Pelodiscus sinensis: one gene and its partners. The protein of the gene in region 4 binds, or shares a complex with, the protein of the main gene of each other region. Links are inferred from orthologs where the notes say so. Each region holds a gene or a part of one and is shown on either strand. Other genes may lie near its edges. The genes, in order: RGS16, P2RY2, C3AR1 and GNAO1.

Region 1 (7,613 bases), on a different chromosome or scaffold from region 4:
ATTAGAGGGAATGTTGCTCCTAACCCCAAAGCTGCTGAACTATATCAATTTTCATGGGTCTCTACCGAATGTGCATTGAGAGGGGGATGAGTAGTACCCATACCCTGCAGGACAATTTGCACTACAGGGTTTTATTCTAGGCAGCTTGACAACATGCTGCATCTCCCTGACACAACATCTATATGATGTTTATGCCCCGACAGTATGGCATTGCATTGTGATGCAATGTCTCTGTGCAGGCCCGGCCAAAGAGTTTGTGGGCCCCAAGGCAGCACGCTGTGGTTGGCTGAACCACGCGGCCCCCAGTCAGGGCAGCGAGTGAGTGGGCTTGGCCGGGAGCTGGGCAGCGCAGGGCCCTGAATGCATGGGGCCCAAGGTAACCGCCTTGCCCAAAGGCCGGGCCTGTCTCTGTGCCAAGAGAGAGCCCCATGCCTTAATGGCAGCCTTACTTGGCCATGCAGCAGCTCCGATTGGTTTTTGCTTAGCTTGTTCACACAGTTATCCAACCGCTGCACTGTCCTTGTTGCATCAATGCAATGCTCTCAGGAGGGGGAAGGAAAGGGCTCCTAAAGACCGACCTCTCTTTTGTTCTAGTCTGAGAATGGGCAAACATTCCCTGTTACGCTGAACTTATGCAGCTGGTTAGCCCTGGGTCTCCCTGCCCACACAGGGTGTCTCCCCCTCATACTGTCATACAAGGGACTCATACTCACTTTTACTCTTCAGCAGGTGGTCAAAGGACTTGTTCCATTCCAGTGCCTCCTCTGAGGAATTTCTGGAAAGGAAACGCAAAGTATAAACCTTATGGAAACAAACTCTAACAAGTGCTCGATCTGGTCAAATACTCAGGGATAGGAAAGCTCCAGGACAGAAGCTGGCTACCGCATTTAGGGGAAGACAGAGGAATAGGTGAGGATAGCATCACTCCATAAAAAACTCAAGTAAGAGACCCAGCAATCTCATTATCTCTGGGGTCTTCTCTTTCTTTTCTCTTTCTCCCTCTCTTTTACTTTCCCAGATGACTGGCTAGATCTTACCTCCATAGGGTAGCTTATGGACAATAGTTTTTCCATATAAAATGCCAATTCCAGCTGGTATAAGTTCTGGCAAAGAGTTTCCCTTCAGAGAGTGAGGGTCTCCCTGGCTCTAGAGTTGACTAAAGTCCACAGACACCCTCTGCCTCCACTCTCCATTTACTGGAGTCCCCCAGACAGCTGGGGAAGTCCACGCTGGTGTCTAGCCTGAAGCTGGGGCACCACACTTTTGTTCCAGATGTCACTCGTTAGGGCCCTATTGTCTAGTCTGGTTTTTCTGACTGTCGAGCTGGGTAATGAACATTCCCCTCTGAAAATCTGGAGATGGGGCTTAGTGGATGGAGACCTGCGAGTTCTCCTGATGTATGGTGCTTTCTTCCTCATAGGGAGAGGAGCATGGACGTGATCCACTCTCGGTGCAGCTTGGGGGGGGGGGGGGGGCTGGGCTAAATTGGGGCTGGCAGGCTTGGCTTACCTGGATTTGGTGTCCTGCTCGGGTTTGCTGACACTCTCGGCTTCCTGTCCCAACTCTGGCTTATGAAGCAGGATCCCTAAACGAGTTTTGAGTTGTTTGGCTCTGAAAGACAGAAGAGGAGCCACTGGGTTTAGAATGGACCCCAAAGGCAAGGAATGGCCACTAGAGGGCAGAGGTGTGTGCTTATCAGGGAAGGCCGGTTGGTAGGCCAGGCTGGTTAGCTCCATCTCCTTACAGAAAATGCCTCATGATCCAAATATCTAGCTCTCTCCCTAAACCTAATCTGGAGACACAGGACCAAATCAAACAGGCCCGGCTCCATTCACTTTAGTTTCAGCCCCTTCCTCCTGAGCATGGCTTGACCGCTTGTTATCGATAGTATTAATTATGCGTTCCTATTTATGAATTAAAACCTTTCTCCTCCAGTCCCACCTCCTGCCACCAGACGCCACAAGAAAACTCTCAGTAGCTCCGTGGGAGACCATGTCCTTGTATGCGCTCTTCCTGTATTCACAGGTAGGGCGTGTGTGGAGGTGTTTGCCTGGTGAGTGTAGAGAGGCAGCTGCCTGCCCAGTCCGGGCCTTTCATTATTCCTCTGGCTTCCTCCTCTCCCTGGTGTCCATTAGTCAATCTCCTGACCCTCTTATCAGTAATTTTCCCTTCTGCTCTGGAGTCTCGAGGGAAATAGTGAAAACTGCTCTCTGCTCAGCCGCAGTGTGGAGACGGGTCCTGGCCCTGTTGTGTCTGCCACCCTGGGCAGACAGCCCCGTGCCACTGTGTCTCTGTCGCAGCGCCAGGACTGCTGCAGCTATTTGCAGGGCTTCTCTGCGGCTGCACAGAGGCCGCTCCCTGCCTCAGCATGTCTGCGACAGGATTGAGACACCTCTGCGACAGACAGAGGCAGCTGCCTGCTAGACCATCTTCTCCCCAGAGCAGCACCCCTCGGCAAGCCTACCGATCAAATGGGGGGTGTCTCTCGGAGATCTGTTATACAAATACGCAAAGCAGTGCCAGACAAGTAACACAGGACTCCGCATTTGCCGTCAGGTGAATTTCACTGTAAATATGTTTGCAGAAATACTCCTGCTGTTGTCAGGGCAAAGCAAGTTCTGCAACTGAAGGGCAAATCTCATGCACTGAAAACATCATAATATCAGCACAACTTCCTGTTGTTTACCCCCTCCGTTCCTCTCCCCCCGGCACCGGCGTGCCTCAATCATTCTGAGCTGGGATTTAAACCCAGCGTTCATCCCAGTTTTACAAACACAGCATCATTGCCCATGCAACAGGGGCCACAAAGTCCGGTACTGAATCTTAACATTTCTTTATCAGCTAGTCCTTTTATTTCCCAGCATCCCTGTATTCCAGAGCTACTTACCTTTCCAAGCAGGTAGCGGAAAGCGCAGCTAAACCTCGGCACATGCTGAGAACGGGGCTGGCAGGAGGGTGGAGAGCGGACAACAGGGTTAATCCTTGTCACTGCGAGTGAAAGCAACAAGCAGCTGCTGAAGGCTGGCCGGCTGCCCTGCGAGCTGTGCTTTATATCTCAAAAGAAGTGGGAGGCACGGGAGGGGCTTAGTCACACACAACTCCAACCTCCAGCCAACCACAAGCTCTGACAGTAGTAAGAAAAGATGATGATGGTTTAGGTGGGTTTCTTTTGTGTGCGTTAAGAGAGGGCGACGTGGGGGGAGAATCAGAACTGTCCTTGAACATCACAAACCTAACCTGTTCCCAGCTAACAGGAAAAACAGACTGATTTCTGTCTATAAACTGTACCTGCTCTTTAAACAGCAGACGCCACAGCATCGCTGCTGCCCCTGTCGCTGCTGTGAAAAAGTGTCTCTGCAGTAAGAGAGGTCAGGAGAATGGGATGCTGTTCTTTTTCTTAAAACAATGTATGAAAAGCACAGCAATGACCAGCTCTCCTGTTGCACTACACATACAAGCCTGGTGGGAGAACACCAGTTACCAGTGTTCCCTGGAAGCTGTGGGCTTGTGGTGCAGCAGCTCATGAAAAATTCACATGCTGCCCAGCTGTTTAGCAGAGCACCCGCAGCTAGGGTTTGTGTTTCTACTGGTGGTGCACATTCGCACATGCCTCAGTGCACATAAAATTTATTCCACACATGGATGGAACAAATGGATGGAAGGAAAAGATCAGAGGGAACATAACCAGTTACAGTGTACTTGTCTTCACTGGGATTTAAACAATGGGCCAGATTCGCCAGGAACTTTTGCACTGTTCCGGTATTCAGTAACCGTACGCTCAATTTGAATGGTTTACAATCTCCAGAGCAGTGCAAAGCAGCCAGAGCATAGGGGTGAAACTGGCCAGTGTCTGCCTTGCATTGCCAACAGGGCAAAATGGTGTTCTGACCATGCCTCCAAATCATACTGTAGGTCCATACAATGGAGTTTGGTCTCATCTGTATTTTGAAACTGTGTGGAAGGACAAGCCTTACCATTACCAGGCCCCGATAGGGTTCCAGGTGCATGCTGCTGGATCGGAGTTGCAGAGTATTTCTTCTGCTCTGCGTTTGGCAAAGGGAGAAAAGGGGAAAAGAAAAGGAGAGAAATATAGAACAAGGGAAAATGTGTGGTGGCACAGACATGCAAGAACCTGAATGAGAAAGAATAATAAATAGAAAACCAGAGAGAATGAAACAGCAGGAGGGGAAAGAGAGAACAGAGCAAGAGATAAAGACAGAAGAGCCAAAGAGAATGAGAAGGGGGCAAAAAGCTAGAGAAAGAAGATCAAAGAAGTGTCCTTATCTCTGCAATCTGCTAGTGCCCCCACTATGTTGTAACATGACATGAATTTTGCTTTACTAGGCAGGACCAAACCTTGTTTTAATCACAATGCTGAACTATAGCAAAGCCATGAGGAGATGGACAACATAGAAGAAGGGGAACACATGGATTGATTCGGTCCCTTTTTCTCTGTTTTAAGAGGCCCTCTGCTCCTCAGACTGAGACTTGAGGAAGATTTGTCTTAGCAGAGCATCACTCGCTCCATGGCCATGCCAAAGGCGCTACTGAAACAGCCGAATGCACAATAAAACCGCTTCTGACAGAGCTGCAGCTCTCAAGCAGGATCCTGCTGCTGCACCGTCTCATAGGCCACATTGTGCTGCAGTCTGCGGTGCCAGAGAGAGAAAAAGAAGCAAGAGAGACCTGCAGACAAGCTGTAGAGAGAGATCAGTGGCCAAGAGCAGAGGATAGCTGGGTGGATAGGATGCAAGAGCAATGCTGACATTCTGTCTCAAGCAGTGACCAATACAAAATGCTAGAGGAGGGTGTAAAACCCTTGTGGTGCGCACATATGACAGCCACACAAGCACAGTCTAATGCTCTCCAGAGTGGAAAAGCAGTTCTCTCCCTGAGTAACATCTGCTCCAGCGCTGACTACAGTCACCATGATGACGGTTTTTCAGCATTAACTCTTTGTGGTTCCCTGTTTTCATTGCACTCTCTGGACAGCAGTTGCTAATCTCTCAGTGCTTACATGCCTCATCTTTCAAATACAAATCTGAGAGTGCTAGTTCTGCTTCATCCTGCCTGCCTCTCAACCAGCCCCTTGGCTACTGGGAGCCCATCCGCCAGGCTGGACGTTTTCCACAAACTCTTGACTCTCTCATCTGTCCAGGGGCTTTGTGTGCGTGAGTCGGTAATGTCATGGGATAGAGATTTCAGTCTGCCTGCTGCAGCAAACTCAGGACAACTGCTCATGTCAGCTGCTTTAGCAGCACCTCTGAAGCACGTTTTCATCTTCCTAGCAAGGTCTGTCCAGCAAAGGAATAGTAGAACTGGCGTATGATACAGGAAATAATAAATACATTGCCATAATAATAAGGGGCCAGATTCATTGGTAGCGATGGGTTGCTTAACCAGTGTGTTATACTAAGTTTATAGCTGCTTTGGATCACTGGAACAGCTGAAAATATCCATTGCATACCAGTTGCCCTGGATCTTTATCAGAGAATCATAGAATCATAGGACTGGAAGGGTCCTCGAGAGGTCATTGAGTCCAGCCCCCCGCCCTCAAGGCAGGACCAAGCTCCGTCTACACCATCCCTGACAGATGTCTGTCTAACCTGTTCTTAAATATCTCCAGAGAGGGAGATTCCACCACCTCCCTTGGCAATTTATTCCAATATTTGACCACCATGACAGTTAGGAATTTTTTCCTAATGTCCAATCTAAACCTCCCCTGCTGCACTTTAAGCCCATTACTCCTTGTCCTGTCCTCAGAAACCAAGAGGAACAAATTTTCTCCTTCCTCCTTGTGACACCCTTTTAGATATTTGAAAACTGCTATCATGTCCCCCCTTAATCTTCTTTTTTTCAAACTAAACAAGCCCAGTTCATGAAGCCTGGCTTCATAGGTCATGTTCTCTAAACCTTTAATCATTCTTGTCGCTCTTCTCTGTGCCCTTTCCAATTTCTCCACATCTTTCTTGAAATGTGGCGCCCAGAACTGGACACAGTACTCCAGCTGAGGCCTAACTAGTGCGGAGTAGAGCGGCAGAATGACTTCACGAGTTTTGCTTACAACACACCTGTTGATACAACCTAGAATCATATTTGCTTTTTTTGCAACAGCATCACACTGTTGACTCATATTCAACTTGTGGTCCACTATGACCCCTAGATTCCTTTCTGCCATGCTCCTTCCTAGACAGTCGCTTCCCATCTTGTATGTATGGAACTGATTGTTCCTTCCTAAGTGGAGCACTTTGCATTTCTCTTTATTAAACCTCATCCTGTTTACCTCTGACCATTTCTCTAATTTGCTAAGGTAATTTTGAATTATGTCCCTATCCTCCAAAGAAGTTGCAACCCCACCTAGTTTGGCATTATCTGCAAACTTAATAAGCGTACTCTCTATCCCAATATCTACATCATTGATGAAGATATTGAACAGTACGGGTCCCAAAACAGACCCTTGAGGAACTCCACTTGTTATCCCTTTCCAGCAGGATTTAGAACCATTAACAACAACTCTCTGACTACGGTTATCCAGCCAATTATGCACCCACCTTATCGTGGCCCTATCTAAGTTATCTTTGCCTAGTTTATCAATAAGAATATCATGCGAGACCGTATCAAATGCCTTACTAAAGTCTAGGTATATGACATCCACCGCTTCTCCCTTATCCACAAGGCTCGTTATCCTATCAAAGAAAGCTATCAGATTAGTTTGGCATGACTTGTTCTTCACAAACCCCTGCTGGCTATTCCCTATCACTTTATTACCTTCCAAGTGTTTGCATATGATTTCCTTAATTACCTGCTCCATTATCTTCCCTGGGACAGACGTTAAACTGACTGGTCTGTAGTTTCCTGGGTTGTTCTTATTCCCCTTTTTATAGATGGGCACAATATTTGCCCTTTTCCAGTCTTCTGGAATCTCCCCAGTCTGCCATGATTTTTCAAAAATCATAGCTAAAGGCTCAGATACCTCCTCTATCAGCTCCTTGAGTATCCTGGGATGCATTTCATCAGGACCTGGTGACTTGCTGACATCTAACTTTCCTAAGTGAGTTTTAACTTGTTCTTTGTGTATCCTATCTTCTAAACTTACCCTCTCTCTGCTTGTATTCACTACGTTAGGCACACATAGACCCTATACTGTCTCAAACACCATTCCACAGGTGCACAGGAATCTGGTAAAGATCATTCACTTACTAGATGCTATGCTCATTCAGTTCCAGGGTGGGAGAGAACTGTGGTGTTTCCTGGTACCCAGGCTGGGAAGACCCTTGTCACAGGTCAGCTCCCTAACGCCATTGGCCACAGGCCACACAAACACTGGCCCCTCTTGGCTTGGCAGGCACTCCTGTCACTCTACAGATGAGCGATAGGCACGCTCCATCCAAAGAGCAGGCCCACTGCTTCCAAAGAAACAACACCCTAGCGTAGCAGTCACTCCTCACAACAGCGCTCCGCTTAACACACAGCAGCACTCAGGCATGTTGATGGTGAAATCAGGCCTACGTTTATTCATCAACGCACAGAGAGCCAAGTAGTAACAAGTAGAAGTATTGGGAACAAATGCTTGTGTATAAAATAAAGTCATAGCACACATTCTAGAAGAGCCT
Region 2 (7,716 bases), on a different chromosome or scaffold from region 4:
CTTCTACCCTACCCTATGTCATTGGTACCTACACGTACTACTACCACGGGCTCCTCCCCAGCACTACACATAAGACTATCTAGATGTCTCGAGAGTTCCGCAACCTTCGCACCAGGCAGGCAAGTCACCATATGACTTGCACAAGTCACCATATGGTTCTCCCAGCTATCACAAACCCAGCCATCTATGTTTCTAATGATTGAATCCCCCTTTACCAACACCTGCCTTTTCCTAACAGCTGCAGTTCCCTCCCCCAGAGCTGTCTCCTCAATGTGAGAGGATACCATAACATCCTCTGGAAGGAGGGTCCCAACTATGGGATCATTTCCCTCTGCTCCAGTTGAATATTCACCTTCCCTGAGCCTTTCATCCTTAACAGCACAGGGGCCGTCTGATCAGAGGTGGGACAGTTCTACAGTGTCCCGGAAAGCCTCATCTATGTACCTCTCGACCACCCTTAGCCCCTCCAATTCAGCCACCCTGGCCTCCAAAGCCCATACACGGTCTCTGAGGGCCTGGAACTCCTTGTACCGAATGCACACATATGCCAGCTGCCCACAGGGCAGGTAATCATACATGCTACATTGAGTGCAATAAACAGGATAGCCCCCACTCTGCTGCTGGGCTTCTGCCTGCATTCTCTCCTACAGAGGGTAATGATAGGGTTTTTATTTAAATCAGGAAGTTTTGTTTTTAGTTTAGTTTAAAAATTTTCAAGGAATGGCAAGTGACCCTCACCCCCTTCAAACTCCCTCTCAAATCTCCCTGTTAGCTGCCCCAGGTTGCAAAGCTCTCTGGTCACTTACTCATGGGCTTTATAAAGCCCTCACCTTTCTGATAGCCCCGCCCCCTGGCTAAGGCTCAACCAATGAACAGAGGGTTCTAGATTTCAAATCTTTAAGCAGCTTTGGTCTTTACATAGGCTTTGGTCACCTCAGTGCCTGTCTGCTGTGCTGATCAGGGCTCAGGTCCCTAGGGCCTCTTCACTGGTATCCAGAGTATGGATGTGAAAGACTAGTCGACACACTAGTCACTTCCCCTCCCTTGCTGCCTCTATCAGAAAGAGGGGGGGGGGGGGGCGGGGGAGCGCTTCAAAGCTGCAGCGCTGTGTGGAGCCTGAGGCCAGACCCTGGGATCCATGCAGTGCTGCTGCTTTGAAATGCCAGGGGGAGCCAGCTGGGTTTCCCCCACTGGGACTCCCCCACTGATCTGGGGCTCCATGTGGCACTGCTTTGAAACACAGCATGCAGCCCTGGGCCAGCAGGGGGCTGCTTGAGTCTCCCCCGCTGGCCCCATGCTCCCCACAGCGCGGTTGCTTTTGAAGTGGAGCAATAGTCCTGGGGCTGTTGCTCCACTTCAAAGGTGGAGGGGCCCTTATCGACTCATCAAGTAGCTCATTAATTGAAATGTAGCATCCCTCGTCCAGAGGCTGCTCAGGGAGGGAAGAGAGGTGCTGGGCGCTGCAGGAAGATGGGCTAGGCAGTGCCTGCCCTGCAAAGCTTAGAGTCCGGCCCCTGACACAGGTGGAGGCAGCCAACAACCAGGCCTACTCCCTTCTCCCTGGCCCAACCCTGTCGCTTGCTCCAGCTGGTCACTCGCCTCTGCCCCCGGCGCCCCCTCCTCCCCCCGCCAGCGGTCCGGGGAGGAGCTGGTAGCGGCGAGGCGGAGTCCCAGGCCCCTCCTGCCCCTCCCGGACCTGGCGCAGCGCGGCACCCGGCTCTGCGCGCTGCTGGGCGCTCGCGGGCCAGAGCAAAGCCCGAGCGGCGCCCAGCGCTCCGCTCCCGCCCGCCGCCTCCCGCTGGCTTGGGGCAGCGCAGCCCCGCGCCCAGTCCCCACGTGCGGCCGGAGCGTGTTCGCAGCGGCGCTGCCCGCCTCCCCCGACTGCGGAGCCAGCGTGGGGCCGGCCGGGAGCTTTCTGGCTCCAGCTCGAAAGGGGAGTTTTCCCCAGTGGGTCTCTGCTCCGGGCTTTAGAGCCTGGCTTGGCGCTCCTGGGCGGGGAAGGGCCATTCAGCCGCGGCAGGGCAGCCCCTGCCACGCCGCTCTCACCCCTCTTCACAAATAGCCCCCGGCAGCCGCCAGCGAGCGAGCAGAGCCCAAAGCTGCCCTGTTGTTAGGGTAGGAGAGAGACACCGAGACAATCAGCAACAAGTGACGCCGGGTGATTAGCTGGGTGTGGGCGCGCGAAACACGCACATACACACAAGCCGGGTCCAATGTTCAAGCAACACAATTCCCTCGATGTTCAGCTCTTCTCCCCGAACCAAAGATAAGTCCTGGAGAGGTCAGTTATGGGGAGTGTACAGTGCTGGGGACAGGGACACACACATACACCCCTTAGTTCTGAGTGTGAACACACACACAGATCCCCCGTAGTTCAGAGTGTGAACACACACACACATACACCCCTTAGTTCAGAGTGTGAACACACATACACCCCTTAGTTCAGAGTGTGAACACACACACACATACACCCCTTAGTTCAGAGTGTGAACACACACACACATACACCCCTTAGTTCAGAGTGTGAACACACAGATCCCCCTTAGTTCAGAGTGTGAACACACACACACAGATCCCCCTTAGTTCAGAGTGTGAACACACACACACATACACCCCTTAGTTCAGAGTGTGAACACACACACACAGATCCCCTTAGTTCAGAGTGTGAACACACACACACAGATCCCCCTTAGTTCAGAGTGTGAACACACACACACATACACCCCTTAGTTCAGAGTGTGAACACACACACACATACACCCCTTAGTTCAGAGTTTGTGACCATCGTTCCCAGACAAATCTGAGTAGAGGGGAAAGAAGGGGAGGAAAGAGAAAACACCGATGATCAAGCTTAAATCTCACACTCACAGATTTGTTGTTCCAAGTCTCTAGGAAGACCGTTGTCTTCTGGCTGCCTTCAAGCCGCGCTCTCCCTGGTCACTTTCATGCTCAGTTGTGATGGAAAGTGATTTGCAGTTTCTTTGTCGCTTTCCCCTCCTTCCTGATAGAGGAGAGCCTACACTGTGAGTAGCAGCAGTTTCTATGAGCGCCTGCCTGTCAAGGCAAGCTCGCCCTTTGCTTGCCGAGGGAGCTCTGCTTACTGCTCTGACTGCTCAGCCGCCTGGCGTGGAGAGGCGGAGTGCAATGCAATCAATGCCAGTGATGCCATCTCCAGCCAGCCCACACTAGTTTTGCTATAATAACTATGGGAATCAAACCGGTTTCCAGCTGCCAGAGCAACAAAGAGTTTTGTTCTAGTTTGGATCGATGACTCTGACCTACGGGGAGCAAGATGGGCAGATGTAAAAAGCAACCCAACAACTCACAGCCATCCGAAGTGGCCAGTGGACTTTTTTCAGGGAGTGCTTTGCTTTCCCTGACCACAATGGAGTCAGAATCAAATGCAAATGGGCTCCAGATGCCCATAATGAATCCAGATGTAGAACAGCCAGCATCTTAGCTGGTCAGGTGTTTGCTCTCTGTCCAGTTTATATGCAACATGCAGATTCTGCAAACTAAAATTCTGACTGCAGAGTGTGAGTGTTTGAATCTAGAGGTTTGGGTGATACAGATCTTTGAATTCCAGAATCCAGCTCTGATTTTGAACATGTTCCTGCATACAGCCAAATGATTTTTTTTCAATTAATAGGTTTTCTGAATCCTGAAATCTATTTGTGGAATTCGGGTCAAATTCAGCAGAAGAAATGGACTGGAAAAAATTATTCAAAAGTCTCAATGTTTTGTATCAGAGCAGTTGTTTTGATGTGTCAATTCTAAACTAAATGATGCCATTTGGCTTGTTTAAAAAACATACCCTTAAAAAGGAGCAAAAAACCCCTCCTGGTACAGCCACTTGAAAAGCACACTTGAAAAGAAATTCATTTCTAATTGACTCAAAATGATTTTTAAATGTTTTTTTGTTCAAATGAAAACTGTCAGGAGAAAAATTGCTTTCAGTTGAACTGAAATTATTATTTTTGGTTCAGTCTCCGCCACAGAAAAATCACTCAGCTCCACTCTCACTTGTGTGTGGTGATTACCATGTTGCCAACTCTCTTTTTATCATATGACTCATGATATTTGGTGGTTTTATTAATGTCCCAGCTTCTGGAGTCATGCTATTTCACAAGAACTGCTGCTTTCATTTAAAGCAATGGAAATTTATTTTATAGCCCTTGGGGATGCAGAAAAATGTTGGAATATGTGACCTGTGTGCACCCTGAAGGCAAATAAAAAGAACACAACAATTATTATTTTTAAAAATACTGTGATTTTTTTAAACCAATGACATGATTTTCAGGGCATGGCTCACAGTTTCTGAATGGCTGTGTCTAGCAATAGTCAGGTCAGGTGTACTCAGAGTTGGGGTGTTGTTCTCCACCTGTTTTGAGAATAGGTGTAAATGCTACTGAACCAGAAGGACACCCTCAGCTGATCAGACCAAAGTGGGCTGCCCAGGCTGACATACACAAGCAGCACCTAAGTATGAAACATATAACTAGTCTCGGAGCTCAGAGATGTAGTCTGAAAGATATGTGCCATAATGTTGCTCTAGTCTAGGGGAAGACATTTACATGACTTACATGGCAAGCAGGTGGTTAAGATGCCTTCATTTAGTTTATAAGTGCAGTGTTCTCACAAGGACAATATATTCAAGCACCAAATTGCGCATTCAGCTTTAAAGGGACTCTGTAAACTTGAAATCCAGGGTGCTGATCAATTAAAACAAAAAAGGTAAAACTAGTTTTGGTTACTACACCTAGCTCGGAATTTCAAAGACAATTGCTGAGGTTTTACAATCCCATTTTCCTACTTTAAAAAAATATTTTCCTCCCTTCTTTGTTGCTCTGTGAAAGACTCCCCCACAAACAAAGGAGAAACAATTAAGGGCTCGACTATGCCTTGTGGATAAGGGATAACGAGCCTTGTGGATAAGGGAGAAGCGGTGGATGTCATATACCTAGACTTTAGTAAGGCATTTGATACGGTCTCGCATGATATTCTTATTGATAAACTAGGCAAATATAACTTAGATAGGGCCACGATAAGGTGGGTGCATAATTGGCTGGATAACCGTAGTCAGAGAGTTGTTGTTAACGGTTCTAAATCCTGCTGGAAAGGGATAACAAGTGGAGTTCCGCAAGGGTCTGTTTTGGGACCCGTACTGTTCAATATCTTCATCAATGATGTAGATATTGGGATAGAGAGTACGCTTATTAAATTTGCAGATGATACCAAACTGGGTGGGGTTGCAACTTCTTTGGAGGATAGGGACATAATTCAAAATAACCTTAGCAAGTTAGAGAAATGGTCAGAGGTAAACAGGATGAGGTTTAATAAAGAGAAATGCAAAGTGCTCCACTTAGGAAGGAACAATCAGTTCCATACATACAAGATGGGAAGCGACTGTCTAGGAAGGAGCATGGCGGAAAGGGATCTAGGGGTCATAGTGGACCACAAGTTGAATATGAGTCAACAGTGTGATGCTGTTGCAAAAAAAGCAAATATGATTCTAGGTTGTATCAACAGGTGTGTTGTAAGCAAAACTCGTAAAGTCATTCTGCCGCTCTACTCTGCACTAGTTAGGCCTCAGCTGGAGTACTGTGTCCAGTTCTGGGCGCCACATTTCAAGAAAGACGTGGAGAAATTGGAAAGGGTACAGAGAAGAGCGACAAGAATGATTAAAGGTCTAGAGAACATGACCTATGAAGCCAGGCTTCATGAACTGGGCTTGTTTAGTTTGGAAAAAAGAAGATTAAGGGGGGACATGATAGCGGTTTTCAAATATCTAAAAGGGTGTCACAAGGAGGAAGGAGAAAATTTGTTCCTCTTGGTTTCTGAGGACAGGACAAGGAGTAATGGGCTTAAAGTGCAGCAGGGGAGGTTTAGATTGGACATTAGGGAAAAATTCCTAACTGTCAGGGTGGTCAAATATTGGAATAAATTGCCAAGGGAGGTGGTGGAATCTCCCTCTCTGGAGATATTTAAGAACAGGTTAGATAGACATCTGTCAGGGATGGTGTAGACGGAGCTTGGTCCTGCCTTGAGGGCGGGGGGCTGGACTCGATGACCTCTCGGGGTCCCTTCCAGTCCTATTATTCTATGATTCTATGATTCTATGCAATTACTTGGAGTGTGGCAGGGGCATAGGTGTAGCTACAAGTGGACCTGATTGAGCTGTGGTCCACCGCCTTAGCATCCAAGCCCACCCAAACTGGAGCCAGAGCTCCCCAAATCCATGCACATGGGGGAAGGTCTGGGTGATGCTAGCAATGAGGGACCAGCAGGAGAGTGATGCAACAGGGCAGTAAGGAGTCCTGGGGGGGAAGCAGGGCCCCCATTCCTCTTGCTCCCACTGTGACGTAGTGTGGGTACCTTGCTGGTTGCTAGGCTTGGGTTATGAGTGACCTCCACTGGCTGCTGTCTGCAGCACGGCCCAGCAGGGCAGGGGGTGAATCATTATGCAAGGGGGCTTCGAACCTGTCTGACCAGTTATCTCCCAGGGAGCGGAACAATGGGAAGAAGGGGAGTGGAGCCTTGGCTGGGGGCAGGGCTGGAAGTGAGTTAGTGAGGCTTCTGGCTGGTATCATGGAGGAAGCAGCCTAGGCAACGGGCTGGGATTTAGGGGCCAGGCTCCCCTATCTCAAGGGGGGCTGAGGCATCCTAGGCCTGCCCTGTAACCAGATTACATCTGTGCTGTGCTGTATCCTGGAGAAGCAATAAACTCCCTCTATTCTACTGGCTGGTGGAGTCTGTCCGTGCCATTACGGGGGTGCAGGAGACGGGAAAACCCCAACGCGCCGTCACACCCTCTCCCCAGGGCAGCCGGTGTTGGCTGTCCAGCTGCTCCCAAGGTGGGTGGAAGGACTCGAGCCTCCAACCCAGTGCTCCCCAGGCAATATCCCCTAAGCAACTCCAGAGCCCACCCCACCTCCCTACCTTCAGTGGTTCCCATCTGCACCTCCCTTCTTGCCTCTCTCCTTAGAGCACCAGATCCGGCCCCTCCCTTCCCCATGGCACTGGATTCCTCCTGCACACCCGATCCTTCCTGTCCCCATTCCCCCACACATCATTGCCCATCCACCTGAAAGCTTCCCCCCCGACACACTTTGTTCTAGCTATGCCACTGCTGTGCAGCATGATGAGATGTAAATGTACAGCACACGCGCATGTCTGGATCCTTCTGCACGGCAGTAAAAGACCCATCACATGGCTGTCAGCTGACTTGGGCTCACAGGGCGCAGGCTGTGGGGCTAAACATTACAGTGTAGATATTCAGACTTGGCTGGAACCCAGGGTCTGAAACCCCATAAATGGGGAGGGTCTTAGAGCCCAAGCCCCACCTTGAGCGCAAATGTTCACCCTGTAGTTTTTGGTCCTGCAAACCAGGTTAGTCAACTGACCCAGGTGGTGAGATTTGGTGCTGTGGCTTTTTTATTGCCATGTAGACGCAGAGGTGAAAGTAAGTGGGTGCACCTGGTGCACTGCTCCAGCAAGAACTGGCTGAGCTGCGGCAAAAACCAGCAGGGAGCTATTGAAAGAGCTGGCAGGGACCCAGGTTGTAATAGGACCGTACCAGTAAGAAATGTTAAGTTACTTTCACCTCTGTGTAGATGTATCCTAAAAGTTCTGCAATGCCTTTTGCGGGGAGTACATCAGAGAGGGCCAGGGGACTTTCAGCAGGCAGAAGCTAGGTCCACATGGCTAGGTTGGGAG
Region 3 (7,422 bases), on a different chromosome or scaffold from region 4:
AAATGCAGAAACTTACAATATATACCTATTAAATGACTGCATTACCACTTGAATGGCTCTTTCACAGGTTCAATATTCTGCTAATAGCTCTGGCAGGCTTTTTCACTTTTAAGTGAACTAGATCCTTTCCAGAAGAAGTATAAGCCACAGAACAGGGACAGAAGGAGGTGAGTAGGTGGACACTGAAGCCTCTGGTGCCCCAGATTTTTGGGTGCTCTACACAGCTGCATATTCTGCATATGTGTAAGGACTGCCCTGTCAAACAGGCCCTGCCCCCAAAGAACTTGCAGTCTATAACATGAGACAAAAGATGGATGGAACACAAATGAAGGGAGGCCAAGATACACAATGAAACAATAATGATTAATATAATAAACAGCACTTATCACCATCATTGTTAAGAGAGCTTTAGGCATCATAGCAAGGGTGAGTTTAAAGTAGGGACAATATGGACTATGTTTGGAAAGCTGCTCTTAAGATAAGAGGCAGCATAGCTAAAAGCACAAAGGTGCTTGAGGAAAATGGCCAATAAAGGCTTCTTAAGGTAGGGCTAAGCAGCAGAGGGCCAAAATAAAGAGTAGTCTATTATATATTTTGAAGAGTTTGTGAATTGTTTGTGCAAAATAAAGCCATACTTAACAATTACTTATAGATACCAAATTTTGCATAAACAATCCTGCCACTTAAATTAGCTGAAAGCACTACTTTTTACACCAGAATATGTTGGGTGAAAGATTTAAATAATTATTTTTGGTTTTCGTCACAAAAAACTTATGACTATTATGATTAGAGTTCATAAAAATATTTGCTAACAAAATTAAAATTGAGTCACCTGTTCAACTGCCATTTTAGTGCAAAGAAAATGTTTGCTGTTACAAATAAAAAATAATTCAAATTAGTTACAGAAAGAGTAATGGAATCTTTATGAGCTTCTGATTCAAATTTACTATGGGTATGTCTACACTTGCCCCCTAGGTCGGACTGGGGAGGCAAAGAAGCATATCGAAGTTGCTAATGAAGCACGGGATTTAAATATCCCGCACTTGATTAGCATATTAGCGGCCGGTCGCCAATTTAACTTGCCGTGTGTAGACGCAGTAGTCCAATCCAAAACCCCTCCCTCGAATTAACTGTTACTCCTCATTAGCAACTTTGGTATGCTTCATTTGCCTTCCTAGTCCAACCTAGGGGGCAAGTGTAGACATACCCTATGTGTGGTAATTATTCAATAAAATGAATAATGTTTGAAGTTGAAATCCTACAAATATAAAACTGTTCTTTTACATCCCTTTTGCAAGCACATTAATAAACAATTCTATGACATATTTCATTTCTTGAATTTTCCTGTGTTAGCTATACAAAATGACTTTTCCCAGTCAACGACGGACCTCACCTGCTAGTAGTTTATATTTGATACATGGAAGAAGGACAAGCCAATGGAGGGAAACAAAGGGGAGGTGGGTGACGTGGTCAATGAGACTTTGCAGGACAAGTAGCATTTTGAACTGATATGAGATATGTTTTCTGAGATCCCAGAGCAAGTCTAGGTTTACATTACAGCCCTACATTGGTATAACTACATTGCTCAAGGGTGTGAAAAATCCAGCACTGAGTGGCATCATCCCATTGACCTAGATTTTGGTGTTGACTGTTTCTCCCACCAATAGACCTACTACCTCTTGGGGAGATATATTAACTACACTGGTAGGAGATGCTCCCCTGTTGGCATAGAGCATCTTCCATAAGCACTGCATTGGCACAGCTGTGTGGGTGCAGCTGTGCCCTGTATAGCACAGTGCGCGAAGACAAGCCTTCAGTTTGCTAAGTGGGGAGTCAGAAAAAAGGACATTGTCCCCAGATTCAGAGGGGTAGCCGTGTGAGTCTGTAACAGGAAAAACTTACAAACCAACAAATAGTCTAGTAGCACCTTAGATAGAGACTAACAAAACATATAGATGCTACCATGAGCTTTCGTGGGCACAGCCCACTCCTTCAGGTGACAGGTTACTACTAAACTATTTGTTGGTTTTTAAGTTTTTCATTGTCACCAGAGTGCATTTGATATGGAAATCCTTGAGAGATGGTCAATGTGGGCCTCACAATGCCACTTTTCAGAGCAGAAATGCCCTTTTAATGACATTCCCAGGGAGTTAGTGACATGGCTGGAATAGAAACTAAGGCTCACTATTCCTTACCAAGTACCTGTAGTAATAAATGCCAAGTGTGCAGGCAGGAGGTAATGTTACTGTACAAACTACACACCCTTTAGAGCACTGAGGCTAACAGCCTGCTCCTGCAGTGGCCAAATCACAGGTCACTATTATTCCATCTAAAGACCACCCCGGTTCTTTTTATTGCACTAGCAGGTCCCTTATCCTTCCAGAGGAGTGCTGCTATGGAGTAACCTCTTTCACTGATACGCCACGGAGCCAAGACAGAACTTTGCCCTGGCCACATGATAAAGCTGCCTCTCAGAATATATACAGTGGATAGTAAAAAGATGCTTTGTACATACTGAAATCAATCCTGCTCCAAGACTGGGAGTTGGATGACTCCATCTAGAGAGTCCTGTCACACTCTCCCACCCAATGTTTTCTAGCTCTCTAAAAGAAAGAGGAAGTTAGAAATACAAAGATAGGGATAGAGAGACACTTTAAGAGTGACAGATGGAGGGGAAAAGCAGTAAAGAGAAATTGCAGATCAGAAAGACAGAATGCTGTCTGTCTTCTGTACATACCCCAGTACAGCAGAATCCTCAATGGATGGGGGAGCAAGAATCACTCTTTGTCTTATGCACTGGCTCTGGACTGATCAGAGAACAACTTATAAGGTGAATTTAGGAACTAACTTTTTTAAGACCACTGAAGATTTTTTGCACCCAAGCGGAAGGACAAGAATGAGTCATGCCTGCAATTTTAGATAATACAAGCTGCAAAAGATCTGGCTTGATGCTGCTGAGATAATGCAACAGTAACATATGGGCAAGGATAGTGTGCTTTCAACAAGCGGGACTGAAGAGTAAGCAAACCTAGAAGTTACTAGGGAGCATAGCTCTGTCCACTGCAAATCAAAGTTTTCATACAAAAATGTGACTCATCACATGAGATCAAAGCACATGATCTTCTCTTGCCTCTTGCCATCTAGGCCAGATTAACATTTTGTGGACTTGGTGCCAAACATATTTGTGGCCCCCATGTAGTTGTTATTGGTCCCTTTTGAGTATAGGCTTGGTGTGGCAGAGCCATAGTATTCCCAATACAGGCAGTCCCCGGGTTACGTACAAGATAGGGACTATAGGTTTGTTCTTAAGTTGAATTTGTATGTAAGTCGGACCTGGCTCCAGATTCAGCCGCTGCTGAAACTGATCAGCGGCTGACTACAGGAAGCCCTAGGCAGAGTTGCTCTGCCCCCGGCTTCTTGGAATCAGCCGCTGATCAGTTTCAACAGCAGCTGAATCTGGACTCCTGGGACAGAACAGCTGGGGCGCTGCCGGGTATGTCCCCGCAGGACCAACCCGGCAGCACCCCAGCTGCTCTACCCCAGGCGTCCCGCAACAAAAGCCTGGTCTGCTGGGGAGGGGGGGCGCGCTAGCTGCGCCCCCTCCCCCCCAGCAGACCAGGGAGACCCGAGCAAATCCGCGGAGGCGCAGAGGTCCCGCCGCCTCTGCGGCTTTGCTCCTGTCTCCCTGCTGTGCTCGGGGGGAGTCCCCCCCAGCACAGCAGGGAGACAGGAGCAAAGCCGCAGAGGCGGGGGACCCCGCCACCTGTGCGGCTTTGCTCCGGGGCAAAGGAGCAAAGCCGCACGGGCAGCAGGGTCCCGCCGCCTGTGCGGCTTTGCTCGGGTCTCCCTGCTGTGCTAGGGAGTCCCCCCCCAGCACACCAGGGAGACCCGGAGCAGCTTTTCTCGCCCCGGAGGACGCCGTGGCGGGACCGCTGCGCTCTGGGTGGTCCTGTCGCCCGCGAGCTCCGGGGCGAGAAAAGCCCCGTTCGTAAGTGCGGATCCGACATAAGTTGGATCCGCGTAAGTCGGGGACTGCCTGTACTGAATCTCAGAGGCATTCTTTCTTTTGATCACAAATCTCGGCAAGATCGTATGTACTGCCATACACAGGCTCACAGCTTCCTCAGCCTCTAGTTTTCTCATTGAGCCATACACCTAGGTGGGTTTACCAGTGTCCATGGTGAGCAGATTTCATAGTGACCAGGGAAACTCTGCACAGATTTCTCTCCTTCCTCCTCCAGACATTCTACAGCCATGTCTCCAAGACCACCTGATTTTACCAGTCACTGTATGTGGGCCTGGTCTCAGCTCAACAAAGTTTCTCAGCCACCTGATCAGTTCTGACAAATCCCTACCCCAGCACCATCCTGCCATTTGAGTCAGCTACTTGTAAACACCATTTCCCAAAGTGAGCACCTAGACCCGACAACCTGAACTCACCCACTTTCCTCCTTCAGTTCCCATCAACGTGCCGGTCTAGTACCTGGTCACCACCACCTCTCTGCAGGCTTGTTTTCCTTCTACCTTGGGTATGCTCTCCTGCCTGCTGGGGCTTCTCTCTCTCTGTAAGCCTGTAGGCCTGACTTGCTTCCTCTTCCCCTTCTCCCCTTGACCAGAAATGCCATTTCTGATTCTGGGGCAATGAGGGGTAGCTTTAACCATGATTTCATTCCACAGGCTACTTAGGCACCTGAAAACTCCTGGGCTATGTCTACACTGCCCCTATTTTGTGCAAAAAAAAAAAAAAATGCAAATGAGGCAAAGTGTGGACTATCTCTGTGCCTCATTTGCATAATTAACTAGGCTCTGTTTTTGTGCTAAACCCCCCTCTTGTGAAAGAGCCGTTCTTCCTGAAAAAAATATGGAAGAACGGCTCTTGCACAAGAGGGGGGTTTTGCACAAAAAGGAGCCATGTAGACAGCTTCTTTTTGCGCAAAAGCCTCTTGTGTAAAAACAGAGCCTCATTACTTATGCAAATGAGGCGTGCCGATATTCCACATTTTACCTCATTTGCATATTTTTTACGCAAAACCGGGGCAGTGTAGACATATCCCTGGGGGTTTTTTTGCACACGATAACTTAGAAATTAACTGGCAGGACCAGTGTTCCTAATTCTTATATAAAGAAAAAATATATACCAATTAAAGCCATATTTAAAATTTAGAACAATCAACAGCAAGATATTTCCAATTTTGGATCCATAACACAAGTTTGATACTTTGCACACTGTCTTTTGTAGCGATAACTAAAATGTTCTTAAAAACTGCTTAGCCTAGCAATTAATGTTATTCTTTAAATGTCTTATGGTCCAAATTGTGAAGAGAATGAGAGAGTTAATTTCTTCCAGGAGTGTCTAAAAGTAAATATATTACTGAGAAACAAACCACACTCCAGATTGGAAGGAGATTCCTAGTGTGTTACTCTAAGGATTTGAGAGTATAAAAATCACCTCTATGATGTTCACTGAAGGCACTCAAGTTCATGAGACTGGGCCACCTTCAGAAATACTGTAGTAAAGAGCGAGTAAACATGAGCTAAACCTAAAATGACTTATCAGTTGGAAGAGAAGGACACATAGCACAGCAGATGCATAGTTGGCTGGCTGCTTAGGGCAGCATTTGTTTGAATCTGTACATGTAAAAATACCAGCAGCTCCTTAAAAGATGTTCTGAGAAAGAATTAAAAAGTTCAATTGGAACCCTCCCGAGGAATCGCCATTTATGTGTAACAGCCTGTATGGCCCTACCTGGTAACCTGACCCAAAGCCCATTGGAGTCAAGGAAAGATGCTCACAGACAAGTGGGACTAAATGGAAGAACAGGTGGCAACCCTGGGACACTGCCAATTCCCACTTCCCCCAAAATTGGAGAGTTGGGAAAATAAGAAAGTTTGAAGTGTAGTTGAAGCAATGTTTGTGGTGCGACAGCTCATGTTTGTTTTTGACAGCAGGGAAAGATCCCTAATGGTCATTCTTTAGTTCTGCCACTCTAGCAGTGCCGCACTGAAACATCCAAAATTGAGTTAACTTGAATGTGCCTGAAGCAGCAGTCTCCTCCCCTGCCTGAGCAGCTCTGTGGCTACTGGTGTCACAAAGGGCTTCTTCCTCCCAGCCTTTTAAACATAGTAACTCATGAGGATGAGGGCAGATCATGAAATCTGCAGTCAACATCCTCTGAGCTTCCTTCCTCACCCACCCACCCCTCCTTCAACCTGCTTGCCTCAATGAATTTGTAAATAGTTCTGCAGAACGCAGCCCTGCTCTTCAATCTGCCAGATACTCCACAAAGAATAGTCAATAAGGAGGATGGCGAGGGAGAGCTTTTCAATCAGAGTGGCTAAGCCTGGGAGATGGGGTGAGAGCCTGCAGAGGAAAATCTACAGACTATGTTGCTGTTGGCTGGCTGGTGAGGAGAGAAGAGGATGCAAAGTAGGCAAGCAAGCAGCATGCTGACTGCTCACCCTTGTGTTTTGCTGCTGTTCTGTTCTTGCCAGTAATGGAATAATGGCACCAGGATCCCTGATTCTAACCCAGCTGCTCCTGATTTCAGCCAGGACCAAGCAGCCCTTTGTATTGGCTAGGCAAGGCTCATCAAGCACAACAAAAGACCCAGGCTTGGCCTTTTGTTGTGTTTGATGAGCCTGCATTCCTTTCACTCCAGTGAGCAAGAGGGGGAGAGGAGTAAACAAAAAGCTGCCTGCATTGCTCTCACTCCTGGGTAGAGGGGAAACTGGAGAAAGTGTCCTGCCATAGTAGGAAACTTGGCCGGGGGCTGCAATCACCCTTAAATGGCATCACTGCCCTGGATATTTCTTTCCTACCGGTGATCACTGTTCCTTGAAGTTAACTCCACTTTCTTTGTCTGCACCTAGCTTAATGGCCCTAGTTGTCACAGAGCCACCTGCAGTTTCTCTGGCTACAGCCATGGGGCCAATTGCTAATTGCCTTAGACCAGGCATGTCCAAAGTCCGGCCCGTGGGCCAATTGCGGCCCATGTTCCGGTTTAATACGGCCCCCGCTTCCTCCCCCTCTCCTGGCTCCCCGGCGCTCTTTTGAACTGGCGTGCCCAGCGCGCCGCTTCCGGCCGCGCCGCCGCCACCGCCCATGGCCTCCGCGGTCCTAGAGCCTGCCCTGTAGGGCACGTCCACAGCTCCGCTCCCCCGCTCGGCTGCAGGTTCGCCCTGTCCCCGGGCCGCCGTGAGGCCGGAGTGCCCTGTGCTCTCCGCCCGCCTCCAACCCTGCGGGCCCTCTGCCTTGGGGCTGAGAATGCAGGGACGGCCCTCACGCATGTTCACTTCTTCAAATCTGGCCCTCTTTGAAAAAAGTTTGGACACCCCTGCCTTAGACAGCTGCAGCTACTGCCCCAGGGGGACTGGCAATTCCAAGGCTGAGCAGGCTTGAACCTTGCAATGGCAGCACTTGGG
Region 4 (6,986 bases):
TTGTGTACATTGCTCCAGACTCATCCTACAACCCATCATCTCTAAGGCTGATTTCAATGTGTTCTCTTCTGGTTGAAGGGAAGGGATACATTCATGGATGTCAGCACACACACACAAAGCCATACCTGGATAAGTCTATTGCAGACAATCTAATGGACAGATGCATTTATTAATGTATTGATGTTAATTTGCTCCAGACCCTCCCTTTCCTACTCCAAATTTTCCAATAAACCAAAGGACAAACCTGTAACTGCAAACCTTTCCAAGGAGTTGAAAGCTGAGTGTGTCTTTACTGAAACACAAACAACGCTATAAAAAGCCATGGGAGATGTCTGGTAGGACTGCCAAAGCAGCTAAAGCCATGGAAAACTGGACTTCCCCGTCCCTCTCTGGAAGTCGCCTTATTTTTCTCTGAAAACAGATCACAGTGTCCCTCCCCCGGGTGGCAAAATGGCAAACAGCTGGAGAGCGGGGTGGGGCCCAGAAGGGAAGGGACCGATCCTGTTCAATGGCAAAATGACCCAACCTGCAGATCGCTCGACAATGCATCGAACGTGTGCGGTGGGCGGGGGAGGGCAGCGCACCGAGCGGCTCCGAACCCCTTCGGCCATTTCCGACGCTGCTCTGTGTCTCCCGACAGATTCCGAACGCCGCCGAGGCAGGCTCCCGGCGGCCGCCGAGCTTTGCCGAGCTGCCGGGGCCGATCGACTTTTCCAGGCTCTGCTGGGCGCTGTCCACCACTCGGAACGCCTGAAAGCTCGCAGCTGGCGCCGCGGCGTGGGGACCGGCCCGGCCGACAGCCGCTCTGCAGGCAGAGTCCCCTCCCTTTGCTCAAAGCCTTCCAAGGGAGGCCCGCTCCCCCAGGCCACCTCTGGCAATGACAGGCCGCCACACCCGCTGCTGGGCATCGCTCTCGGAGCCTCCCCCAGGGGGTCAGCGTAGCAACTCCCTTTGCAATCAGCCTTGCACCGATCAATAACAAACCCGCCCTGGGCCTTTAAAACCAAGCAGCAGGGACGCTCCTAAGCCTGCGATCAGGGGCTGCTCAGTGATGGCGCCACCTTGAATGAGCTTGTCATGGCTATTCCAGGGTAAGCCCGACATTTCTCATGTACTTACAAAATAAAAATACCCTCCCCCCCTTTCGCTAGCCTGCCTCGCCTCCCCCCCCCCACCATCACTGCTTACTTGAAAGAGAATCAATGTGTGTGCGCGCGTTTATGGCATAGCAACTGCCCAATTAGCAAGCGTGTGCGCGCACAAAGGTGTCACAGAAGAACCCCTGGGCAAGTCCAACCCTACACAACCGCAGCAGTTCGCCGCTTTCTTCCAGACAGCCTCGTGAGATTTAAAATACATCCATGCCCCGGAGAGAGGGTTGAGGGAGGGGAAGACAGAGGAACAATGTTCCGATTTGGAAAGGGCTTTTACAGCGGAGCAGGTTTCCTTGTGTAATTGTTTTAATGTTCTGTTCTTTTTTTAAAACTCCCTTAATTTTCATTGGTGATCAGCAGCCAACGTCTTAATTAATCAACAGGAAAGGCGGAAATCTCGGGTAAAAAGGGCTTTGAGTGGCAGCAAGCCTTGCTTTAAATCCGCATTACAGGCAGATTTTTAAAATAAACAAATACAGGGAGCCGGCCCAGCAGCTCACGTCAGGAGGTAAAACACGGAAGGGAGTGTGTGTTTTGAGAGGAGAGAGCCTAGGAGATAAAAACCTGACATTAAGCTTAAATGCAGAGGATGATGATGTCCTGGTTTCATCTGTGCCATTCATATCTTCTACGAAACCCATCCTACCCCACCCCCAACCACAGGCAGCTTCTCACACCTTATGAGAGGGAAAAGAGAAACCACACCACATCCAATTCAGCACCAACCCCATGAACAGCAGACACCTGGTCATCCTCGGTGAGCAAAGGGCTGGATCCCCCTCCATCTTCTTTCCCCACTAGAAATCACTGCTACAGATGTGCCATACTAATGGGTCCACAAGCCACAACACGATAACCACAGTAATTCTCAGATAAATATGGCGGTCACAGGCATTCTTACAACTAAAGAAGCCCCTTCTCACAAGCTCCCCCCTCCAAAGAAAATCAGAGGAATGTCTAGATTTTTTCAAGGCAAATGATCGACGCTTCTAGGGCGTTAGCCCCAAAGGACTTACTTCATCTGCTTGACAATGGTGCTTTTCCCAGATTCTCCAGCCCCTGTTGGGACAGACACAGAAAGAAAAGATCCAGTGAACGTGAGAACATAAGGAGATAAAGGAAATTACACAGAAGGGAGCAGCTGTGTTAACGGAGGGGGTTATCTTGGTGAAATACAGTTTCCCAAGACAGAATGTGCACAGATGGGAAGAAAACATGACTTAAGGAAATGGGTAGGGATGTGGTCGGCGGGGCGGAGTGGGGGGGGGGGGGAGCTGCTGCTTACCTAGCAAGAGTAATTTCACGTCTTTGGCGGCGCTGATCCCATCCTCCTTGAGATTTTTCTCAATCGCTTTGCTCCTCTCCAAGGCAGCTCTCTCCTCTGCGCTCAGTGTACATCCCATGATGGCCAAAAAAACCCTCGGCGGCCGCCTCTCCCCTTCTCAGACACTCCAAGAGAAAGGGGGGAAAAATGAACCCCCAGGAAAAAATCTGGGCAATCAAATACGTTTCCCCTTTCTTGTGAATGCCCTTCCCTCCTTTCCCTCTCTCTAGCAATCAGTGCATCCAAGGGGGAGCCGGGCAGATCTAGGGCTGCAGGCAGGCACGGGGCTGGTGCAAAAAAGGCTGAGCTCTTCCTGATGGAGGAGGAGGAGGAGGAGGAAGAGGGCTCGGCGGGGGGAGGGGAAAGGGTGGATCCTGCTTTGGCTGGAGGGTTTTTTTCCTCTGATGCAGGCTGTGGGGTCTCTAATGGGCGGCGGCGATGGCTGCGAGCGATCGCATCGTTCGGCGGCTCCTGGCGGAGAGGGAAGCAGAAGGGGAAAGCGAGCGGGCGGGAGGGAAGGAGGGAGGGGGAGTTGCGCCAGGGGTCCGCACTCACGGGCTCGCCTGCTTTGGTGACGTCCGCAGCGCCCGCCCGCGCATGCTCCCAGAGCAGGGTGGGCTGCTGGCGCTCCCGGGCCGCGAGCAGCTGCTCCCGCGGCTCCTGGCAGGAGGAGAGCGCGCGCTCCATCCCTAGGTGCAGCGAGGATCCAGCGAGAGGAGGGCGGGGAGCAGCCCCGGGGGGTACCTAGGTAGGGCCCTGTGCGCTCTGCAGCCTGCGCGAGTTGGGAAACAATTGGAGCCGGGGAGGAAGGAGCCTGCGGGTGGACAACTCGTCATTGTCTCCCTTTGACCCCTCCAGGAAAGCTCTGCCAGGCCAATGGACTTCGGTGAGGTTCAAAGGCGTCTTTCCCCTTTCCTCGCATGCATGCTGCCCCGTGCCAAGGCCGGGGGCTAGCCGAGCTCACTCTGTGACCTTTCAGCAGTGACCTCAGTTTTCCCAAGCAGAATTCATGGCTTGGTGGAGTGCCTGGAGTAGGAGCTGTTTTAGCAGTGCAAATGATTATTCTCCTTACTGGCCTTTCTGTACATACAGTGTAGCTCAAGCAGTGGTAGAAGTACCCTTAGGGGAACTTGAGAGAAGGCTGGGGGGGGGGGGGGGGGACGTCAACAACTGAAATTTGGAGAGAACTGAATTTTTGTTTGAAGTTTGACAGCGCTTTATTATTTTTGTACATTTTACACCCAAAAATTTCATCGCCTGCCCAGCTAAAATTAAGTTATTTAAACAAATGGGGTGCAATGGTAGACAAAAAAATTGTGTGTCTGAAAACTAGGTACTGAGGGTACTTATAATTTTGGTTTTTTTGAAAAGGGGTTCTTTATAAAAAAAAAAGGTTGAGAAACACTGGTGTAGTGAATAGGGCTTGTCTAGTGCTACTTTGGTAATAATGAGAGGAAAGGCTGGGCCTGGGCTGCAGGAGACCTGGTTAAATTCCTGGTTTTGCCACTTCCTGTGCTGGCCTTAGGTCACTTTTTTCCCCTGTGTTTCAGTTCTCCTCTATAAGAAGTTTCTCCTCTTTCTGCCACCTTTTGTCTTTTTTATTTAGACTGTAAACTCTTTGTGGGCCGGGACTATATATGTACTGTACAGTGCATACATTTACACAGTACATCTGTGTATGTACAATGCATGCCTAGCACTATGGGTTTTGTGTCTTGGTTAGCACCTGTAGGTCCTGCTGTCAGAAGGAGCATAATAATTGATTCTAGGAAGTTTATACACTTGCAGAGATGAACTTTATTAGGCCTGGGCAAATTTGGTACCAGGTGGGAGAGGAGACAGTGAAAGAAGTGACAAAAGGTTTTCCCTGATGAAATCCCATCCTAGGTTCATTCAGAGACATGTACATCAATTGCAAAGCTAAAGCTGAAATAGCTTAATTCGGCTTTTGGCATGGTCTACACAGCAGGAAGTCGAAGGAAGAACTCTCTTCCTTCAACTTCCCTTGCTCCTCATGAAATGAGGGTTACAGGAGTCGAAGTAAGAAGTCCTCCATCTCTAAATTATTTCATAGTAACAGCTTGCGTTGTAGAAACACATTGTGGCTACGTCTAGACTGGCATGATTTTCCGGAAATGCTTTTAACAGAAAAGTTTTCCGTTAAAAGCATTTTTGGAAAAGAGCATCTAGATTGGCTCGGACGCTTTTCCGCAAAAGCACTTTTTGCGGAAAAGCGTCTGTGGCCAATCTAGATCGCCATTTTCGCGATCGGGGCTTTTTTGCGCAAAACAAATCTCAGCTGTCTACACTGGCCCTTTTGCACAAAAGTTTTGCACAAAAGGGACTTTTGCCCGAACGGGAGCAGCATAGTATTTCCGCAAAAAGCACTGATTTCTTACAGTAGGAAGTCAGTGCTTTTGCGGAAATTCAAGCGGCCAGTGTAGACAGCTGCCAAGTTTTTCCGGAAAAGCGGCTGATTTTCCGGAAAAACTGGCCAGTCTAGACACAGCCACTTTGTAATTTTGAAATAACATCGGTTATTCTGAAATCACAGAATCATAGAACTATAGAGCTGGAAGAGACCTTAGAAGGCCATCAAGTCCAGCCCCCTGCCCAAGGCAGGACCAATCCCAATTAAATCAAAGCCGCCAGAGCTTTGTCAAGCCGAGACTTAAACACCTCTAATGCTGCTGTGTAGACATAGCCTAGATGATTACCTGTTTTGTTCATTCCCTCTGAAGCACCTGGCATTGGCCACTGTAGGAAGACAGGATAATAGGCTAGATCAGTGGTTCTCAAACTTTTTAGCCCACGGACCACCCAATGTGAAACTTTCTGCGGACCACAAGCTGATAATGTAAACTCATCATTAATTACATATAGTAATTACACTCAAGCCATTTTGCTATTGGCTGCAGCTAGGGAGAATGGTTCAATTTAAGTCATTAAACAGATTAAGAGTTTTAACTGTCTCATGTTCGTTTATAAAATTTCATTCTAAATAAAGTAAAATATTAATTTATGTCCAACACAAAAGGTTTCAATGTTTTCTTTATTTATGGCAGGGGTGGGGAACCTTTTTTGTGTCAGGAGCCACTGACCCACAGAAAAATCAGTTGGGGTCCACACAAGTGAGAAGCAAAAAAACTCTCTTCCAACACCCCCCCCCCCTCACAATCCTGGTGCTCCAGCCTGATGGGGCGAGGGGAAGAGACAGAGAGGACTGAAGTTCAGGGCTTCCCATAGGCCAGATTCACTTTTCTGGTGTTCTGGAGTTACTGGATTTTATAGACCTCCTTAGACTCTGGGGTGAGGACAAAAATGAGGGGTTCAGTGTGTGGGACAGGGCTGCCAGTGAGTGGGATAGAAATAAGGGCAGGATCTGGAAGGGAGGTGGGGTGCAGAAGGGGAAGAGGTTGCAAGGTCTTGGTGGGAGGTAGGGTACAGAAGCAGGCTGGGAGTAGGGTGGCTGGCTAGGAGGAGGGAGCAGGAGCAAGGGAGGGTGCAATGTGTGACCAGGAGGGAAGGTGCAAGGAGCAAAGCGGATGCAGGAGGCTTGGGGTAGGGTGTCTAGCCAGGAGGGAGGGTGCCTGGTAAGGAGGGAGGAAGATGGGGGCTAAGAGTGCCTGCAGATAATGCTGGGGTGCAGAGTGGCTGAGGGGGTTCAGGTTGATGGGGGCAGGGTGCCCCTGGGAATAGGGCTGTAGTTAGGGTGTTTTTGGGGGGTTCAGGGATATGGGGGGGAGGGAGGCTAGGTGCAGCACAGTGAGGCAGGGGTGGGTGAGTAGGTGACCCCGTGGTGTCCAGCACTGCTGGGGGGCAGAGTCCTGTGGGGGTCTGGTCCATGGCACCCTGGGGGGTGGGTGCTGAAGTGCCTGAACCCCTTCCCCCAGACCAAGTCCCCTAAGTGCAAAGCTCTGAAGGACCCCAAGCCCCCACCTGCATCCTGCGGGCTCCTCCCACTGCTGCCGAACACAGGGCAGCCTAACCTGCTACCAGGGAAGGGGGAGGGCACTGGCCACTCACACCACAAGAGTCTGTCCTGCCCAGCTGGGCCCTGCACAGCCAAACCTGAAGCCTGCCCTGTGGGAGCAACTGAGGGATGCGCCACTCTGGAGATCAGCTGCTAGAAGTGGGCCTCAGCCTCCTTGATTGGATCCACCTCGTCATCTCCAGCCTGATCCTGGCCTGCATATTTATTCCTGCCTCTGGAAATTTCCACTACATGCATCTGACGAAGTAGGTCTTTGCCCACGAAAGCTTATGCTCCTACACTTCAGTTAGTCTATAAGGTGCCACAGGATTCCTCGTCGCTTTTGCAGATTCAGACTAACACGGCTACCCCTCTGATACTCTTACCATGGCAACTGCAATGTCAGCAGGGCCTAGTTGAGGCAGACACCCAGCAGTGGGAGGAACTTTTCCATGAAGGAGGGCAGACCGGTTCTCCTCCATGTGTAGGTCCACAGCCCATGCCAGGGGTGGGTGGTGCTGAGTTCTGCTACATT

Evidence for each region.
Region 1: the proteins of GNAO1 (region 4) and RGS16 are in contact, whole or in part, in a crystal structure (PDB 3C7K), measured with the Mus musculus proteins. The link is inferred for Pelodiscus sinensis from reciprocal best matches to the Homo sapiens genes GNAO1 and RGS16. Residues at the interface, in NP_034438.1 of Mus musculus: Glu64, Asp65, Gln68, Ser75, Arg86, Thr117, Val180, Lys181, Thr182, Thr183, Gly184, Ile185, Val186, Gln205, Arg206, Ser207, Glu208, Lys210, Lys211, His214, His236, Glu237, Asp238, Glu239; in NP_035397.2 of Mus musculus: Glu85, Phe86, Ser87, Glu89, Asn90, Glu124, Ala125, Pro126, Glu128, Val129, Asn130, Asp132, His133, Glu134, Leu161, Lys164, Asp165, Ser166, Arg169, Lys172.
Region 2: the proteins of GNAO1 (region 4) and P2RY2 are in contact, whole or in part, in a cryo-EM structure (PDB 9K20), measured with the Homo sapiens proteins. The link is inferred for Pelodiscus sinensis from reciprocal best matches to the Homo sapiens genes GNAO1 and P2RY2. Residues at the interface, in NP_066268.1 of Homo sapiens: Ala31, Lys32, Asp33, Val34, Leu195, Gln305, Glu309, Glu318, Ile319, Tyr320, Cys321, His322, Met323, Val334, Phe336, Thr340, Asp341, Ile343, Ile344, Asn347, Leu348, Gly350, Cys351, Gly352, Leu353, Tyr354; in NP_002555.4 of Homo sapiens: Asn66, Ser68, His130, Arg131, Gly134, Val135, Pro138, Leu139, Leu142, Arg143, Met221, Arg224, Leu225, Ala229, Tyr230, Gly231, Thr232, Ser233, Pro237, Ala239, Lys240, Lys242, Ser243, Arg245, Thr246, Leu308.
Region 3: the proteins of GNAO1 (region 4) and C3AR1 are in contact, whole or in part, in a cryo-EM structure (PDB 8I95), measured with the Homo sapiens proteins. The link is inferred for Pelodiscus sinensis from reciprocal best matches to the Homo sapiens genes GNAO1 and C3AR1. Residues at the interface, in NP_066268.1 of Homo sapiens: Ile28, Ala31, Lys32, Asp33, Val34, Asn194, Leu195, Ser264, Asn316, Glu318, Tyr320, Asp341, Ile342, Ile343, Ile344, Ala345, Asn347, Leu348, Arg349, Gly350, Cys351, Gly352, Leu353, Tyr354; in NP_001313404.1 of Homo sapiens: Asn57, Asp119, Arg120, Val123, Val124, Pro127, Ile128, Gln131, Asn132, Arg134, Asn135, Tyr356, Ile359, Arg362, Gly366, Arg367, Phe368, Ser371, Lys374, Thr375, Val378, Leu438.

What each region holds. Positions count from the first base shown.
Region 1 is NC_134719.1:57,909,136-57,916,748, reverse strand, and holds the start of RGS16 (regulator of G-protein signaling 16), read right to left. Parts: upstream 3,017-7,613; 5' UTR 2,932-3,016; coding exon 2,888-2,931; intron 1,612-2,887; coding exon 1,514-1,611; coding exon of another isoform or gene 1,510-1,513; intron 1,073-1,509; coding exon 969-1,072; intron 778-968; coding exon 714-777; intron 1-713. UniProt on the Homo sapiens protein: Regulates G protein-coupled receptor signaling cascades. Inhibits signal transduction by increasing the GTPase activity of G protein alpha subunits, thereby driving them into their inactive GDP-bound form.
Region 2 is NC_134711.1:320,713,308-320,721,023, reverse strand, and holds the start of P2RY2 (P2Y purinoceptor 2), read right to left. Parts: upstream 3,003-7,716; 5' UTR 2,869-3,002; intron 1-2,868. UniProt on the Homo sapiens protein: Receptor for ATP and UTP coupled to G-proteins that activate a phosphatidylinositol-calcium second messenger system. The affinity range is UTP = ATP > ATP-gamma-S >> 2-methylthio-ATP = ADP.
Region 3 is NC_134711.1:132,724,286-132,731,707, reverse strand, and holds the start of C3AR1 (C3a anaphylatoxin chemotactic receptor), read right to left. Parts: upstream 3,013-7,422; 5' UTR 2,738-3,012; intron 1-2,737.
Region 4 is NC_134722.1:44,556,821-44,563,806, forward strand, and holds the start of GNAO1 (guanine nucleotide-binding protein G(o) subunit alpha), read right to left. Parts: upstream 3,017-6,986; 5' UTR 2,558-3,016; coding exon 2,440-2,557; intron 2,214-2,439; coding exon 2,171-2,213; intron 1-2,170. UniProt on the Homo sapiens protein: Guanine nucleotide-binding proteins (G proteins) function as transducers downstream of G protein-coupled receptors (GPCRs) in numerous signaling cascades.